Linked DNA regions of Oryctolagus cuniculus. The protein of the gene in region 2 purifies or fractionates together with the protein of the main gene of each other region. This does not show direct contact. Links are inferred from orthologs where the notes say so. Each region holds a gene or a part of one and is shown on either strand. Other genes may lie near its edges. The genes, in order: PRKACB, PRKAR2A and AKAP8.

Region 1 (5,726 bases), on a different chromosome or scaffold from region 2:
GCTCATTTAAATAAGAGTACCTCTATACTATTTGCAAGAATCAAGTCATTTGTTTGACTTAGCAAAGTGTTTATCCAAACCAATGTTCTTTTTAGCTTGCTTCCTTCCCTGTAAAAACTTTACAATAGGGACTATTTGAGAAACTTCAAATATTGTCATTTTCACTAATCTTGTTCTATTAAAACAGCAGCTAAAACCCTTGAGGAAGAGGTAAGGTTTATAAGCCTTCAAGCCCTTCTGTAATACTTACAGAAATGCTGGTACCAAGTGAGAGAATTTGGGTGATGAGCCATATCATTAGAATTTGCTGCTGAAGGAGACACATTTGTCACAATGCACAGGGCTGGTTATTTCATTACTTAAGGGATAGAGGTGGGGGAGATAATATAAAAGGAAGCAAAGGGAAATAGAACCTCTGATTTATAGGAATCCAAATTGTTGGGTATAACTACTCAATATTAGTCTATCTAAATGCATTGCCAGAATAGTGAATTTCAAGGAAATTAAAATGAACTTCATTTATGCGAATGTCTTGGGTGGTAAGACATTATTCAATTAAAGAATTGTCTAGAGTTTTGGCAAAACTGAGTTTGAGCTGATCAAACAAAAACAATTACTAGAAAGTTCATCTTCAGGCCATTTACCAACAAAAACATTGGCAAGAACTACTAAAAGCAACAGTTGTCCTGCCCTTCAGAGATTGTGTAGCCATAACACTGTGCACCTGAAACACCAGCAAGATAAAATGCAGTGCTGTTTGGAGGAAAACTAATGAAAAAGAAGGAGGAGAAGAAAAAGACAAACCAAGAAAAGTAGTCTAGTACTGTGTTATGGCACAGGAAATGCTTACTTAGCGGTGCCTTTTTACATAGGTGGATGCAGAGTGCACACACAGATGACAGCAATAAAGACCTCACTCAGTCGCTGGAATGAAGGAACTAGGTAACTGCTTCAACAAGGAGGGTCTCAGCTCCACCTTGTCTCTCACCAGAGTGCAAAGATTGAGTGTGAGCTCTGATCGCCTCTTGTTATCCCTCTCTAAAATTCACAAAATTCTTTCGCACATTTTTCTGTTATAGAGACACGGATATCTTCTTCTTCATAGTCATCAAAGTTGCTGGTATCTCCAGAGCCTCTGAACTTTGGTATGAATGGAGCTTCAACCTACATAATTGGGATAGAGAGGAAAATAAGAGGAAAACTAAATTCCTGAGAGTTTGTAAACACTAAGGAAAATAAATTTCCACTCTTAATAACTGGTGGCATCTTTGAATGCCGTTAAATCCCTAAAATATATTGGCATCAGAAGAAGGAGCAAACAGTAGATTTGCTGTTTAACTCATCATTTTCATTCAAGGAATATAACAACATTGAGACATTCCTAGGATAATTAATTGTTGGCATCAAAATGTAGGCTCCTAAGATTACAGAATTCCAGTTTTTTCCTTTATTATTTATGTTCAAAGACTTTATTTTTCTATCCTCACTTTTATATTCCTTTCTTCTGAAGCTGACAGATAAATCTTAGACTTTCTTTTAATTGCCTTCCTTTTTTAATTTCCAAGTTTATTTTAATTATCTGTCTACATAAATGTGCAACTGTCATAAGTTGGAAAGAAATGTATCTCTTTTGGAATTATAGAACTGCTAAATCTTAAATGTTTTTCTCCTTTCAGATCCTGAAAGTAAACTGTCTTTCCACCATTCAGAGTATGGTCTTTCACAAAGATTATGTGGTATAATGAAAACATTTGAGGAAACTATTTAAAAGCTACAAACATAATAACACAATTTTCACAATCCTTACTGAATTTACAATTACACATACAATTTTTTCATTTCTTCTTCAGTACCACATTATGAAGAAGGCAGAGCAGGTATATTTTATTCTTATTTGTAAAAATCATAAAACAGAGTTGGCCAAAATCACATGACTAGTAGGAGGCTAAAGCAAGTCTCAAACTCATAATTTTCTACTTCTGGATCAGAGCTCTTTCTATTACGTATGTCAGTGGTTTCCAAATCTTTTTGATTTCTATCTCTTTCAGTAAAATAGTTCCTAGCACACATTATCAATATTTGTATAGTTATTTATTTATACATTATTCACATGGTTGACCATATAATATAAGATAAACACAGAAATATGACATTTTAAAAGAATAAAGTGAAAATAAATTGGAATGGAAATTCAAGTATCTTTATTTTTCAGCTGATTATCTTGCACCCATTGCTTTGGGGACTGCTGTTTTGTTCTAGAAGAATGAGTTAAACAGACAGTTGCCTCATGTCTAGCCAGACAACAATTTAGGATTCTACTTTTGGGCAATCATCTCTAGAGAGTGACTGTACAGTTTGAGTCATCTAGGCCATTTCTTTCTTTCTTTCTCTCTCTCTCTTTATCATCGTTCTCCTAGATTCATTTGGCTATTTCACATTCATGAACACTGGATCACAAAATAAAAACCATGACAACCATTCAAATTTACTATCTTTTTATTTTTTGCACTGCTGTGCATTCTTATAGTTGAGAAGATATTAAAACAAATGGCCAAATTAAAGTACTGGATTATTTCTATTTGTAAATCACCCAGGGATCCTAGCGTCTATTTTGTTAATCAAGATTTTGCTGTTATTAAACAAATTATCTAATTTGAACTATAATGAAGCATATCTCAACCAGAACTCAAAGGGAGCTTGGCTAATCTGTCTGATCTTTCTTCCCCAAACTACTCTTCCATCTTAAAGGTGATTAAATTGATGCTTTACAGAAGTTAAATTATTTGTTTAAGATTATAACAATAATGCTTGGTTGATCTGGGACTGAACCTCAGAGTTTATGCTCTTTTTTAACAGCCTTTTGAGAAAGAGTCTTCCTACCCTCAAGGGTCAATATGTGGAAGTCAAGCAGATGATATGAAAATTTTATGAAACAATGTATTGTGCAGTGGTTTGGAGCATCATTTGATCATGTTAAAAGGACTTTAAATGGGTAATGTGGCTCTGGGAATAGGAATCTGAAGAAAGCAAGATCAAAGATAGGCATCATTCAGTAGTTATAAGATTTTTACATTAAGTAACCTTTCTGAGTTGATTTTCTGATTAGTAAAATGAAGAAAATGGTACCACCCATTTCAAAGAATACTTTAAGGATTAATATGAAAAGTTAAAGGCAGTCGCTTTCAGTCATTATAAAGTATTGCATTGATGCTAACAATTATAGAAAAAATACAAAAATATGAAATTCTTTTTATGACAACTAAAGATTATTTTAAATTACTATGGACCCTGTTCTTGACTACATAGCATATCCATTTGTAATAACAATGTTAACAGATATGTTTCCTGAATGGTTGGAGAGTGAACTACTTTTTTGAGAAATAGAGGTTGTACTGCATTTACATTGTTTAGGTCTTGTTATTTCTTCTGTATGTTGCACTTAAAATTCTTTTACTGCTTTGTTTTTTCAATCTTTTATAAAAGTATCAATTACGAAGATACAAAAAATGTGCTTTTGATACTCAGCTAGAATATTAACATTTTCTCACTCTAATATGTGAAGTTGAAAATACTTCTACATATAATTAAACACCAACTTTTAAAAAGTCTTACCTTCCTCTGGTAAATAGCAATCCAATCTGTTGTGGCAAACCATTTGTGAGTTTTTATGTCACTCACACCATTCTTTAGATTTCCAAATCGTTTCGTCAAATCCACTTGCAGTAGGTTCCTTAGAAGATCTTTGAGATCTGAACTGAAGTGGGATGGGAATCGGACCTACACAAACACGTCAAATGATAAAACACAAATTCCAAAACTCATGATATTTCTATTTTGATTTCACATTTTTTAAAGGTAGCAGGGCATTATATTAACAAAATTGTTTAATGACAACTTCAAATGCTTTTAAGTAAAAGTCACAGTCCCTATAGTAGTCTTTTTTATAGAAAGCTTTTATTTAATAAATATAAATTTCCTAAGTATAACTTTTGGATTATAGCAGTTCTTCTCCCCATACCTTCCCTCCCACCCCCAAACAATCCCATCTCCTACTCCCTCTCCCATCCCATTCTTCATTAAGATTCATTTTTAATTATCTATATATACAGAAGATCAACTCTATACTAAGTAAAGATTTCAACAGTTTGCACCCACACAGACACACAAAGTATATAGTACTGTTTGAAGACTAGTTTTACTGTTAATTCTCATAGTACAACACATTAAGGACAGAGGTCCTACATGGGGAGCAAGTGCACAGTGACTCCTGTTGTTGATTTAACAATTGACACACCCTACAGTAGTCTTAAAGTAGAGAATTATTTGTGTGAATGAACTAAAACTGTTCCCTTAGTGTCTTGTTTTGGTCATAAATTCCCTTTTAGAACATGGAGCAGTCTCCAGGAAAATGTGCACATATTTAGAACTTTTCCAACAATATCAGTATGTTCACCCATTGTCAAGAGAGAGCTCCCTTGTCTCAGAGATGTGAGAACTGAAACTTGTTCTATACAAATAGAGCAAGCAGCATATGAAACAAATCAGCATGTACATTTTGAAGAGATCTACCAAAAAAGAAGTCTAAAAATGTTTGTAAAAACCCACACTCTTTCAAAGCACAGGGAACTATTTTTCATTTATTATAGATGGTTTTTAAGTATAACTCTGCTATTATGCAATAGTATAAAAATTATGAGAATTAACTGGGAGATAATATTGTAAAAATGCAGTTCCTGGGGCTTACCTTAAACAATGAGGACATTGAGTCTAAAATCTGAGCTTTTATCTTCAAATGATTCGTATATACATGCAAACTGAAGAAACACTATTCTCAACTCTATTCAATACTAACTCCTCAGTACTTTATGTAGAGATTTTGTTCTTTTTTTTTTAAACTAATACAACCTATAAAATTTTAAATGGAAATAATAAACTGAAACCATCATCATAACAGAGGAAAATTCACATTAGGAGAGAGAGAGGGAGTAGAGAAGGGAAAGGTGAGAGTAATGGAGAGAGTTAGGGAGAGGGGAGGGGAGAGAGTTCCCATCTGCTGGTTCACCACCCAAATGTCTGCAATACCCAAGGCTAGGTTTAACTGAAGCTGGGAGTCAGAACCTCAAATCAGGTATCCCACGTAGGTGGCAGGAACCCAATTACTTGAGCTATCACTTATGTCTCCCATGGCCTGCTTTAGCAGGAATTTGTAGGAGTGGGGTATCTAACTCAGATACTCTGATATGGGAGATGGGCTTCTAATTCAGCAAATTAACCACTAGGCTAAATCCCTGCACCTGTACTTTTAATTTTTTCTATACTGCTTCCATTATGCAATAACCTGAAAAGAGCTATTTCCAGGAAACATCTTAAAGGTTGACATTTTCATCATAAAAATATTTTGCTGTACATTTCCTTATTTATTTATTTTTTTGACAGGCAGAGTGGACAGTGAGAGAGACAGAGAGAAAGGTCTTCCTTTGCCGTTGGTTCACCCTCCAATGGCCACCGTGGCCGGAGCGCTGCAGCTGGCGTACTGCGCTGATCCGAAGGCAGGAGCCAGGTGCTTCTCCTGGTCTCCCATGCAGGTTCAGGGCCCAAGCACTTGGGCCATCCTCCACTGCACTCCCGGGCCACAGCAGAGAGCTGGACTGGAAGAGGGGCAACTGAGACAGACTTCAGCGCCCCGACCGGGACTAGAACCTGGTGTGCCAGCGCCGCAGGTGGAG
Region 2 (5,726 bases):
CAGGGGCTAGGAACTCGGGCCTGATGAATCTTAAGCTATCCTTCTCTTATTCCCAGCACTGGGTTCCAGGATAAGCATAACTTCCAACCCAGACCAAGCAGATAACCCCCAGTGCTCTTGTCAGAATGCCAGAGAAGCTTTTATCTGGAAAAGTCTCCACTACTAGTTACACACAATTAAAAAGGCAAACATGGGCATTTGGTGTAGTAGTAAAGACACCACTTGAGATGCCTCTATTCCCTATCAAGAGTGCCTAGGTTTGAGTCCTAGCTCCACTTCTGATTCCAGCTTCCAGTGAATCTGCACCCTTGGAGGCAGTGGTAATGGCTCAAGTAGTCAGGTCCCTGCCACCCACATGGGAGACCCAGATTGAGCTCCAGACTCTTGGCTTTGCCCTTGCATCTGTTGTGGGCATTTTGGGAGTGAAATAATCGATGGAAGATCTCTGTCTCTCTCTGCCCTTCAAACAAATAAATAAATAGACAAAAAACAAACAGCAGATGAAGAAAATTATTAGATAGCACTTATTATAACTGCCCAGTTCACCGTGTGATAATTCTTACAGTATCCAAAATAATATGAGAAAAAGGCACAAAAAAGACATGGAAGTTATCTTACAGATCTGGTTAATCACTGAAGACAAGGATTTTGCTATATGTTGGGATTAGCTCAGAAGATATCTTTGTCTCAAACATAGAAAAGGTAGAAAATGGGACATGTGCCATGGCACAGTGGGCAAAGCCACTGCCGGTGATGCCAGCAACCCTATATGGGCACTGGTTCAAGTCTATGCTGCTCCACTTTACTTTTTTTTTTTTTTTTTTTTGATAGGCAGAGTGGACAGTGAGAGAGAGAGAGAGACAGAGAGAAAGGTCTTCCTTTGCCGTTGGTTCACCCCCCAATGGCCGCTCTGGCAGTGTGCTGCGGCCGGCGCACCATGCTGATCCGAAGCCAGGAGCCAGGTGCTTCTCCTGGTCTCCCATGCGGGTGCAGGGCCCAAGGACCTGGGCCATCCTCCACTGCACTCCCTGGCCACAGCAGAGAGCTGGCCTGGAAGAGGAGCAACCGGGACAGAATCTGGTGCCCCGACCGGGACTAGAACCTGGTGTGCCAGCGCCACAGGCGGAGGATTATAGGCTGCTCCACTTTCAGTCCAGTTCCCTGCTAATGCGCTTGGGCAAGCAACTGAAGATGGCCCAGTGCTTGGGCCTCTGTACCTATGTGAGAGACTTAGAAGCAGCTCTGGGCTTCTGGCTTCTGCTTGGCCCAGCCCTGGTCATTGTGGCCATCTGGGGAGTGAACCAGCATTGCAGGACCTCTCTGTCTCTCTCTAACTCTGCCTTTCAAATAAAATAATAGTAACCAAAAAAAAAGTCTCTCTCTCTTAAAAAAAAAAAAAAAAAAAAAAAAAAAAAAAGAACATAAGAAGCTAAAAAAAAAAAAAAGTGAATGGAAGCAAGAGATCTACATCAGTCAATCAGATGGACCATCAGCAGGCTTCAAAGCACTCTGCAGGAGCTACGACCTAGTTCCTCCAACGTGAGCTCCCACTGTTGGGAACTCACAGACATCTTAAGAGACAAAAGTGATGTGCTTGTTTTCAAGTGGTGACTTCAGGAAAGGAGCTGGGCAGGGCCTCTGCTTACCTGAGTGATTATGCGTTCTCCATCCTTATAGACCTTCTCTCCGATGACATCCACAATCTTCATTCGTTCCGATACCTGAAACAACAGACACACAAATCATAAGGAAAAGACCTTAACTGAAAGTTACACTACTTATACAACACAGAAATGGGCTAGAATAATATGATTTGAAAACTTAGTAACAGATAGCTTCTCTCTCCCCACCATAAAAAGACTCTTACTCAAATAGATTTTACCTCTAGTGATTTAAGGAGGGGCACAGACTCAATAAACGATTCAAACATCTTCCTTTTTTTTGCATTGTTTTTCACTATGATTCTTCTAAAAGTCACCCGGTCCTATAAGAAAGAAAATGAAAAATCTAGTAAATGCCTGTGTAAGACAATGTCCACGGTTTAGTTAACTGGGACACGTCAATTGTTAGATTATGTAAGTTATTGTGTCAACTGAGTGTTTAATGATACTTCAATTCCAGAGTAGTCAATGGAAGAAAAAGACTTGTAGCCTAAGCCAGACAAATGCCCGACACACTGCTGCTTGCTATCTAGTGTTCAATGGGTGCCACCTGTGGGTCACAAACAGACCACAAAACAAAGAATTCCCAATCAAACATTGGGGAGCTCACAGTCATTGTTTAAAATCAAAAGACAGCCGGCCGGCGCCGCGGCTCACTAGGCTAATCCTCTGCCTAGCGGCGCCGGCACACCAGGTTCTAGTCCCGGTTGGGGCGCCGGATTCTGTCCCGGTTGCCCGTCTTCCAGGCCAGCTCTCTGCTGTGGCCAGGGAGTGCAGTGGAGGATGGCCCAGGTGCTTGGGCCCTGCACCCCATGGGAGACCAGGATAAGCACCTGGCTCCTGGCTCCTGCCATCGGATCAGCGCGGTACGCCGGCCGCAGCGCACCGGCCGCGGCGGCCATTGGAGGGTGAACCAACGGCAAAAGGAAGACCTTTCTCTCTGTCTCTCTCTCTCACTGTCCACTCTGCCTGTCAAAAAAAAAAAAAAAAAAAAAAAGACAGCCTTCCAAAAAAAGGAAGGAATAAAAAACTAGATGGTTCTTGAGTACAAGGACTTCACCATCTTAATCATGAGACAACACAAAACACACAGGAATAAAGAGTCTACAGTTCAAGGCAGCATATGAAATACACTAGGTGAAGCTACAGAAGGCAAGCATCACAAGAATTTGAGATGGGAGGGAGATCACAGTAAGCAGGAATGATTGAAGACAGTTTTGTAGCAAAAATATAAATTTGGGATCTGAAGGATGAGTAGTTTTAAATTAATGAAAAGATAGGGGAGGATACTCAAAATGGAAGGCAGACATATAAAAGGTACCTTGACCCCAGTAAAGTCATGGATTCTGATTAGGAGACAGTAAATCAGAGCTACCTAGAGCCAGGCACTTTTCAGACACGTGTGAACATAGGTGGGGAGAGACACATGGACAGGAAAATGTTAACTGCTTAGTCTCAGGCTTCTAAATGGGTGAACAGTCATTTGGACCCAAGTTAGCTATTCCTTTTTCCTACACAGGCTGTCAAGAATGGAAAGTTTTCTTTTGGAAACTATAAAAATACCCTAAAGGCTGGAAAAGTAAAGCAGCAGCAAGGGAGTAAGGGCCTATTTCACTGTAGGTTCCTGATGCTGGAGCGGTTGTGGGGTAAAGACAGCACATAACAGACAACTGGGCGCAACATCTGAATGGACTTCACTGGCTCATTTTCTATCAGCTGTAGAATTCCCAGGTCCTATCCTGTGCCACGTTTCACCCACATAAACAGAGAAGTCACCTACACTCCTAGTGTGGGCAGTGGTAGAATCCTACTCTCCCTACTTACACGGCTGTACAAATAAGGTCTGCTTTCTGGTACTTAGGCAGATTCTGTCCCATTTTCCCCCAATATACTTGGAACGAGCCATTCAATCTCTAGTCGCTCTGTTGTGGCTGCATCATCTACCATGGATTTTCTGAAGTCGAGGATAAAGATGTATTATTTAAAATGTTACTTTTATACTTTGGAATATTGGCCAATCTAGGCCAGGAATGTTATGGAAAGAGAACAATTAAGACAGAAAATGAGAATTATAAAGCCCCTTTCCTTATGCTTGAATAGGCATGTCAAAAAATAATATTTATAAATCCATTTATAATGTTACAAATATTATAATAATTTCAATAGCAAGTTGCATTTCTATCTAAGGAGAAAAACAACAGATATCTCTTAAAAATTATTTGAAAAGCAGAGTGATAAAGAAGTAGAGAGAGGAGGGAAAAGATCTTCTGTCTGCTGGTGCAGTTACCAAATGCTTTCTAAGGCTGGGGCTTGACTCAGGATCTGGAACTCCATGCAAGTTTCCCATGTGGGTGGCAGGAACCCAAGTACTTGGGCCATCATTCGCTACCTTTCCAGGTAGCAGGAATCTGAATCAGAAGCAAAGTAGCTGGGACTCCAACAAGCACAATCCAACATGGAATGTCAGTGTCTGAAGAGGCAGCTTAAGTCACTGTACCACATAGCCAATCCCAGAGTATCCTGCAGATTTATCCATTCATTTTCCAATCCCTCCTATGCATGTTTTCACACACTTCCCAGAACTCTCTATTCATATCATGCAAGGCCAATTCTTGTAGCTATGGAAGGTTAAAAACAACAACAACAATAACAACAAAACAGCACCAGACACCAACTCAGCCTTTGGAGAGCTCCCAGTGGGGCACTGCAGGTGAACTTTCAGAGACAGCAGGTGCTCAGAGGCAAGCAAACCACCTGAAAGTTTGAAAAGAAAAGGAGTGCCACCCCCTCTTGTAACTACAAGCGTTCCTTAGGGAAGCTTCTACTGACCTCCACTCGAGCAGGAGCAGAAACTGACTAGTGCCCACAGTGGCAGCTATTCCCTGTCAAAGAAGGAATACAGGATCCAAGTGGAGAAACTCAGTGACAATACCCAGTCCACCTGGCCTTAGCTTCATTAGGCATTTCCAAGGTCTTCCCAGGCATGAGTGAAGAAGTCCGGCTGGAGAGGATCCTCTGGGAGCAACTTTTCTAGAAGTGGTACTCAAGCTTTGGGAGAGTCTGACATTGTGAAGCAAGTGAATGAAGCAGAACAAAAAGCAGAAGAGCATCCTGATGGGTTATTGGCCTTAATTAAGACAGCAGGGAGGGGCCGGTGCCGTGGCTCACTTGGTTAATCCTCTGCCTTGCAGCGCCAGCATCCCATATGGATGCCAGGTTCTAGTCCTGGTTGCTCCTCTTCCAGTCCAGCTCTCTGCTGTGGCCTGGGAGGGCAGTGGAGGATGGCTCAAGTGCTTGGGCTCCTGCAACCACATGGGAGACCAGGAAGAAGCTCCTGGCTCCTGGCTTCAGATCGGTGCAGTGCCGGCCATGGGGGCCATTTGGGAAGTGAACCAATGGAAGGAAGACCTTTCTCTCTGTCTCTCTGTCTATAACTCTACCTGTCAAAAAAAAAAAAAAAAAAAAAAAAAAAAAAAAAGACAGCAGGGAAAGGAAGAAAAAACTTCAAAGGATAAGCATAGGAAGAAGAAAACTAGGGCAGAAGTCATAGGAGAATTTTCAGAGAGGGCTAGTGAGGAGCACCACGCCATGGGGATTTGCTAGTTCATGTTGTTAAGTTCTGTATCATTGCTAGTTTTCCGTCTGGTAGTTTCAACAACTGTTGACAGCTGGGTGTTGAAATCTCCATCCTCTGTAACTGTGGATGTCTGCTTTTCTTTTCTATGTTATCAGTTTTTGCTTTACATATTTTGGAACTATTATTTGGTGTGTATGTGTATTTACAATTGCTGTATCTTCTTGGTAGAATAGTCCTTTCTTCTTCTTTTTTTTTTTTTTAATTTTTATTTATTTGAAAGACATAGTTACAGAGAGAGAGAGAGAGAGAGAGAAAGAGAGAGGTCTTCCATCCGCTGGTTCATTTCCCAGATGACCTCAACGGCCAGAGCTGAGCTGAACTGAAGCCAAGAGCCAGCAGCTTCTTCCAGGTCTCCCATGCGGAAGCCCAAGGACTTGGGCCATCTTCCATTGCTTTCCCAGCCATAGCAGAGACCTGGATCAGAAGTA
Region 3 (6,205 bases), on a different chromosome or scaffold from region 2:
CTCAGGGCCATAATCACCTCTCCCGGTCCTGCATGCCCTCCCCGCCGCTGTTCCCGCCCCTGCCTCCTTCCTTGGACATCATGTTCAGACGCTGGTTGATCTTGGCAATGAGGGAGTCAGAACTGTCGCACGGCTCTGGCCCGAAAGAGGAGGACATGTGCATGGCAGGGCCCCCATCGTGGCCCTTGGAGGCCTCCCAGGACGAGCCTGGGCCGTAGTTGTAGGATGATCCCGAGGTGACGCCGGCGCCCTGGGCCCCGTAATAACTGTAGTTGTCGTAACCTGTCAGAGGGTAGAGGCCCCAGGTCAGACCTGGGCAGGCCCGAGGCCCTGGCAGTGAAGGAGAACCCACCGCCCACCTAGAAGGCAAAGGACTGGCAGAGACCAGGCACTGCTGGCGTGGTGTGGGCACACAGCTGTCAAGGAGTCAGCAAGAGGTGGCCAGAGCGGGAAGTGGCTCCCCATCAAGCCCTAGTTGGCAGAGTCCCCCACAAATGGGAGTCTGGGCTGTCAAGAGCCTGCTGCTCCTGGAACCCACCCATGACCCTGCTCCAGCACCATGCTCGCGGGGGGAGGGGGAGCACACCAGACATCCCCACTGGCTGGGGGACACCCGGGTGATGGGGGACAGGGAAAGGAGGAGGGGTGTGCATCTCAGCCCCTCACCCACCTGCAGACCCCCAGCTGGTCGCCCCACTTCCATATGCACCTTAGGAGAAACAGAAAGACACATGAGAGCCTCGTTTGGAGGCTGAAGGCACCAGCAACCCAGCTCCAGGGAGACAAGACTGCACTGCACCCAAGACCCACAGAACCAGGCTGAGCGGAACCTGCGCTTCTCTCCTGATTAGCGGGCCGGGAAAAGGGTGCTTTGGTGCACACAACCCCCAGGAAGCTTGTCCGTCTCCTGTGGGCCACCAGCCAGGAGGCCAGCCAGGCTGCCAAGCGGAGCCTGATAAAGGGCCAGCTCTCGGGCACTGCCAGTCCGCCCCGGGGAGCCTCTGATGGAAAAAAATCACGTCCTCAACTCAACTGAACGAGGGAACGCGATGTGTCCCCAGCGGGTGCTGGGACAGGTCCCAGGCTCAGAAGGCATCAGGGGCCGGCAGCAGACAGAGCACTCCCCGTCCTCCGGACACACTGAGCACCTCGCCGCGGCCCCTCGGCAGGGTCAGCCCGCACACACGCAGGGGAAATGTCCCGCACCACTGGGGGGTGGGGGGAGGCGGAAGCAGGGAACTCGAGTATCATCCGCTCAACCCTAAACCCAAAGCTGCACTAGGCAGCACACAGGATCCATTAGAGGACAGGGAACACTCCCACCACACACAGCCCTGAGAGAGAGCCTGCTGTGACAAACGGCATCTCGTGACACGCCAAAACCATGACATTCAAATTTCACTGCCCGTTCAAAACAAGAAAAGCAGGTGGCTTGCAGTCTAGTCAGCTCCTTTGCCTGAGCAGCCACAGAGCGCTCTGTAGACCCCCGGGGGACCATCTCCCCCTCGACCCACTCACCCTGGTTGCTGGCAGGCCCTGAACTCCACGCCCCGTAGCCTGTGAACAAAAGATGCTGCGGGTTAACGCGTCAGCCGTCACGCACGCACGGGACACCCGGACCTGGAGGTGCTGGCCTCCAGAGAAGACAGCCATGGCTGCCAGCATCATCCCCTAAGGATCCGTCCCACAGCCGGCTGACAGGCCTCAAGGCAGGAGAAGGGAGGGTGGAAGGGGAAGGGAGAGGAGGGAGGAGGGGAGAAGAGGTCAGAGCTGCTCCAAGGCCCCTCCAAGCCTCAAACCCGAGTCAAGGATGAGCAGGAGCCTACAGCTGTCTGCAACACCCAGCAAGCTAAGAGCAGGGCTCAGCTCCCCCGAAGGACCCCAGGGCCACTCAGAGCAGGGAAATGTCACCCTCCAGGCCCCGCCTCCGGGGCAGGGAGCTGGCTTCTCACCTGCGTCCCCCAAGCCCGTGCCCACCACCGCACTTCAACTCTGATGAGCAGACACGCTCGCCTCCAAGACGTCCCGCCGCCCACAGGATGCCCTACTGTGCGGCAGGAGCTCGGGGACTCGCTCCACTGCGGACGGAGCCCTCTCCTGACCCACCGTGCTCAGACCCTAACAGCAGCCGACCGACCTCCGGGGCCCTGATCCCTCAAAACACCACCCGGGGGGGACTCAAAAAAGTCTCCGCAGCTAGGACGCGCAGGAGAGAAAAACCTCTCCAGCCTACACGAAGGGAGGACGGCGTTACTGGCAGGAGCTGTCTGGCGCGAAGGAAGACAAGGCAGAGAGACCAGGCCAGGCTTCAGGGAGCGGGCCGAGCCCTCCCCTAGGGCGCTATGGTTACCCAAGCGCGCACGCACACGCACACAAGGTTGCAGCTCAGAGACCCCCACCCTCTGCAATCCCTGCTGCAGGGACCCCCCCACTCTGTCACCTCTAGAGACCCGCGCCTGCCTTAGCTGCCGCAGCCCAGGTCAGACCCGTCCCCACATCCCCCGCCCCCAGCTTCTCTCCCCGGCCCAGCCCTACCGTGCAAGTTCCAACGGGTTTCTGGCGGGTGAACCCGGCCCCAGGAACAGAGCAAAGGCCTCCCGGAAGGTTCTGATTCCCGAGAACAGGAGCGGGGAGCTCGAAGAGGTCGGCTCCACCGCAGGCAGGCGCTGAAGCCAAGCGGGAAGGGGCGCGTCCGCTCCTACACGGTCCCTAGGCCCCTCCAGGCCGCCATGAGGGGCTGCTGCACCCCGGCTTCGCACACCAAACTCCTCGGCCTGTCCCCCGGCTGTCTCGTCCGGGGGCGCCTCCGCCCCCCTCGGCCAGCACACAGCTGCGCCCGGAGAGGCTAACCCCTGCAGAGGCCGCGGTGGGCCCGGCCGGCCACAGACCCGACCCCGCGCAGACCGGATGTGCTCGCAGCCACAACGCTCAGCAAAGGCCCTACCAAGCCCAGCGGGCCCGGGAAAGGCGGGTCCCCAGCCGTCGATCAAGCACCCCCGGGCCGGACCCCACGTCGTGGCCCCGCCCCCGGAGCCGCCATTTTGTGGCGTCTGTAAAGGGGAGGGGAGGAGGAAGAGGAGGAGGAGGCGGCGGGACGGCGAGCACTAGAGTCGCCGAAGCCCGGCTGAGCTCCCGCTGCGCCGCGAGGAAAAAACGGCCCGGACGACCCACGGCGCCCCCCGAAGCGCCGCCCGCCCCTCGGGCTTGCTGGCCAATCGGCACGCAGCGCCCCGGGAGAGACGGCGCCAAGGCCCAATGAGCAGCGCGCGCGCCCCGGCCGCCTCCTGGCAGGGCTGCGTTGGGGCAACTGCGCTCGCCCCGTAGGCCAGGCCCGTGGTCTTCTGCGCAGCGGCAGCTGCGTCGCCCGGATGGCACCTGCCCTCCCCGACTCGCGCCGAGCAGTTCGTACTGACCTCCGTAGCCTTGCTCCATGTCTTCGACGCGGCCCGCCAGCAGCCCCTTTTATCTAGGCTGCCACAGGACGCATGCGTTCAACGCACCTCCCGCCTTCCGCTACTGGAAGTCACGTATCACGTCACTCCCTTCGCGCGCTGCCAATGGCTGGTCTTCCGGAAGACACGCCCACGGCCGTTCCAGCTAACCTTCCGGGTTGCTTGCGATTGGCGCCTGCAGCCTCTCGGGAATTGTGGTTGGACTCCGGCGTCTCGGGGCCCAGGCCACACGCAGGCGCACTTCACGCCCCGCCCGCCGCCGGCGCGCAGGCGCAACTCGCACCTCCCCCGTGCGCAGGCGCAGCCTACTCCGGCGCCCAGAGAGTGGTTTGCGCCCCCCCGCCGCCGCCCGCCGCCCGCCGCCCGCCGCCCGCCGCCCGCCGCCCGCCGCCCGCCGCCCGCCGCCCGCCGCCCGCCGCCCGCCGCCCGCCGCCCGCCCGCACACTGACAGGCCGACTAGGACTTGGGTGGGAAGAACTTTATTCGACTTGACTTCCAGCCTTGGCCACGCAGGCCCTGCCCGCCCTGGGCCCGCGTCACGGGGCGCCCCCGCCTCCCTCCTCGTCGTCTTCCACGTCGAGCCCCGGGATGCCGCGGATCTGGCGCTGCAGGGCCCCGCCGAGGAGGGGCTCGCCTTCCTCCTCCTCCTCCGGGGGAGGCGGCGGCGGCGGCGGCGACGCGGCGCCAGGGTTCGGCTCCGGGGGCACCGGGGGCTGCGCCGGCGCGGCCTCCGCGTCGCCCGGCGTCCCTTCGGCCTCGTCCTGCTCTCGGTCCTCCTCGGGACTGTCGGTGAAGGGGTTCTCACCCTGCAGGGAGCGCGGGCAGTGAGGCGGGGCCCGGGGCCGGGGCGGGGCGGGGCGGGGCCGGGCGGCGCCTTACCTTCAGGTAGCGCTCCAGCTTCTTGCTGATGAGCTTGTTGTTGAGGATGCTGCGGGCCACCATGAGCGAGGACTTCTTGGACTGCTCCATCATGAGCTGCGGGCAGGGCGGGCAGGGCTGGAGACGCTGTCCGGGCGCCTGCCCGCCCGCTCTGCGCTGCCCCACTCTGCCTGGCCGTCATACTTACTGGGATCAAGGGTCACCTACAGAGCTCGGCCCTGACTTGCAGGAATCACACAGAAGCTTTCTAACCCACACGTGCACAACCCACACAACGAGGAGCCACAGGTCCCGATCCGCGCAGAGGCCTTCAGCATCGACAGAGCAGAAAGCCAGGAACACCCATGTCCAAGGCCAGTGAGCTCCAGCGACCATAACCCACAGGGTTCCAGTCTTGAAGAGCTAAATGCGGCGCGAGCCGCAGCGCGGTGCAGTGCGTGAGGCCACTCATCCCGCGCTGCAGAGCCTGGGGTCAGCTAACGCACCTGGGAGGCAGACCACGGCCCACCACCCACCAGGAGGCCCAGGTGGCTCTCTGGGCTCTTGGTTTTGGCCTGGCCCAGCCCTGGCTGCTGCAGGTCCCTGAGGAGTGAACCAGTGGATACAAGGTCCCTCTTTTCTGTCTCTCCCTGTCTCTGTCACACGGCCTTTCACATAAGTTTTTTTTTTTTTTTAAAGTAAAAATTTGTTTCAACCCCTTTCCAGAACTTATCCTAAGTTTAAGAACTGAAAACATGGGCCGGCGCTGTGGTGTAGCAGGTTAAACCTTCGCCTGTGATGCCAGCATCCCATATGGGCACCAGTTCGAGACCCAGCTACTCCACTTCTGACCCAGCTCTCTGCTACAGCCTGGGAAAGCAGCAGAGATGGCCCCCAAGTGCTGGGGCCACTGCACCCATGTGGGAGATCCAGAAGAAGCTCCTGGCTCCTGGCTTCAGCCTGGCCCAGCCCTGACTGTTCTGGCCAACTGGGAGTGAACCAGCAGATGGAACATCTGTCTCTCCTCACTCTGTAACTCTGCCTTTTACATAAACAAAATAAATAGATGAATAACTCTTTAAACAGAACTGAAAACATGGAGTCACTGCCTACAATGCTGGCATCCCGAATGAGTGCTGGTTCAAGTCCCCGCTGCTCCACTTCTGATCCAGCTCCTGGCTAATGCGCCTGGGGAAAGCAGCAGGACATGGCCCAAGTCCTTGGGTCACTGCCATTTACGTAGAGGCCCAGATGGGAGTTCCAGGCTCCTGGCTTTGGCCTGGCCCAGCCCCAGCTCTTATGGCCATTTTTGGGGAATAAACCAGCAGATGGAAGCACTCTCTCACCCCCTCTGTGTCACTCTTTTCAAATGAATAGGTCGAAAGAAAAAAGAAATTCGGGAAATGCATGCACAATAGTTATATGGTGATGAAAAACTGGAAAGCACTGGAATGTTCTTTGGTGGAGGAAATGATTACATCAGACACTCAAAAGCACACTGCGCAAGCCCCTAAAATCGGGCTCATGTGTCCACTGGCATAAGAAAGGTGAGTGACAGGGCAGTGGTTGTGACTTGCCCCCAGTGGCTCTGGAAGGATGCACACTGACCCGTGTCATTTCCTCTGTGGTTGGGAGTCCAGGCACATCTCACTGTCATCACCAGAAAGCCAGGGGCAGAATGGGAACGAGGGAGCTAGAGCACACACCTGCCTCCGGGACCCCTACAGAGCACTAGCCAGCTCTATGGATGTCTCAGAAAGCCATAAATCAGGCTGCTGCACCCCCTACTCCCTTTTTCTAGGTGCGTGTGTCTTCTGCTACGTGGGGAGAAGATGGACAACCCTTCTGCACGCTGCTAAGAGGGCATCATCACAGGGTCCTTCCTTGAGGCTCCT

What was found.
Region 1: the proteins of PRKAR2A (region 2) and PRKACB purify together in Homo sapiens (affinity purification with mass spectrometry; 6 studies listed by BioGRID and IntAct, counting the BioPlex papers as one, with this or other methods). This does not show direct contact. The link is inferred for Oryctolagus cuniculus from reciprocal best matches to the Homo sapiens genes PRKAR2A and PRKACB.
Region 3: the proteins of PRKAR2A (region 2) and AKAP8 purify together in Homo sapiens (affinity purification with western blotting; 3 studies listed by BioGRID and IntAct, with this or other methods). This does not show direct contact. The link is inferred for Oryctolagus cuniculus from reciprocal best matches to the Homo sapiens genes PRKAR2A and AKAP8.

Annotation. Positions count from the first base shown.
Region 1 is NC_091438.1:87,044,715-87,050,440, forward strand, and holds part of PRKACB (cAMP-dependent protein kinase catalytic subunit beta), read right to left. Parts: intron 3,778-5,726; coding exon 3,613-3,777; intron 1,165-3,612; coding exon 1,039-1,164; 3' UTR 1-1,038. UniProt on the Homo sapiens protein: Mediates cAMP-dependent signaling triggered by receptor binding to GPCRs.
Region 2 is NC_091441.1:100,344,790-100,350,515, reverse strand, and holds part of PRKAR2A (cAMP-dependent protein kinase type II-alpha regulatory subunit), read right to left. Parts: intron 1,985-5,726; coding exon 1,883-1,984; intron 1,722-1,882; coding exon 1,647-1,721; intron 1-1,646. UniProt on the Homo sapiens protein: Regulatory subunit of the cAMP-dependent protein kinases involved in cAMP signaling in cells. Type II regulatory chains mediate membrane association by binding to anchoring proteins, including the MAP2 kinase.
Region 3 is NC_091447.1:61,519,053-61,525,257, reverse strand, and holds the start of AKAP8 (A-kinase anchor protein 8), read right to left. Parts: upstream 3,675-6,205; 5' UTR 3,433-3,674; coding exon 3,414-3,432; intron 3,205-3,413; exon of another isoform or gene 2,536-3,204; intron 1,558-2,535; coding exon 1,519-1,557; intron 710-1,518; coding exon 671-709; intron 283-670; coding exon 18-282; intron 1-17. Other genes in the region: AKAP8L (A-kinase anchor protein 8-like), read right to left, coding at 3,989-4,258, 4,332-4,427. UniProt on the Homo sapiens protein: Anchoring protein that mediates the subcellular compartmentation of cAMP-dependent protein kinase (PKA type II).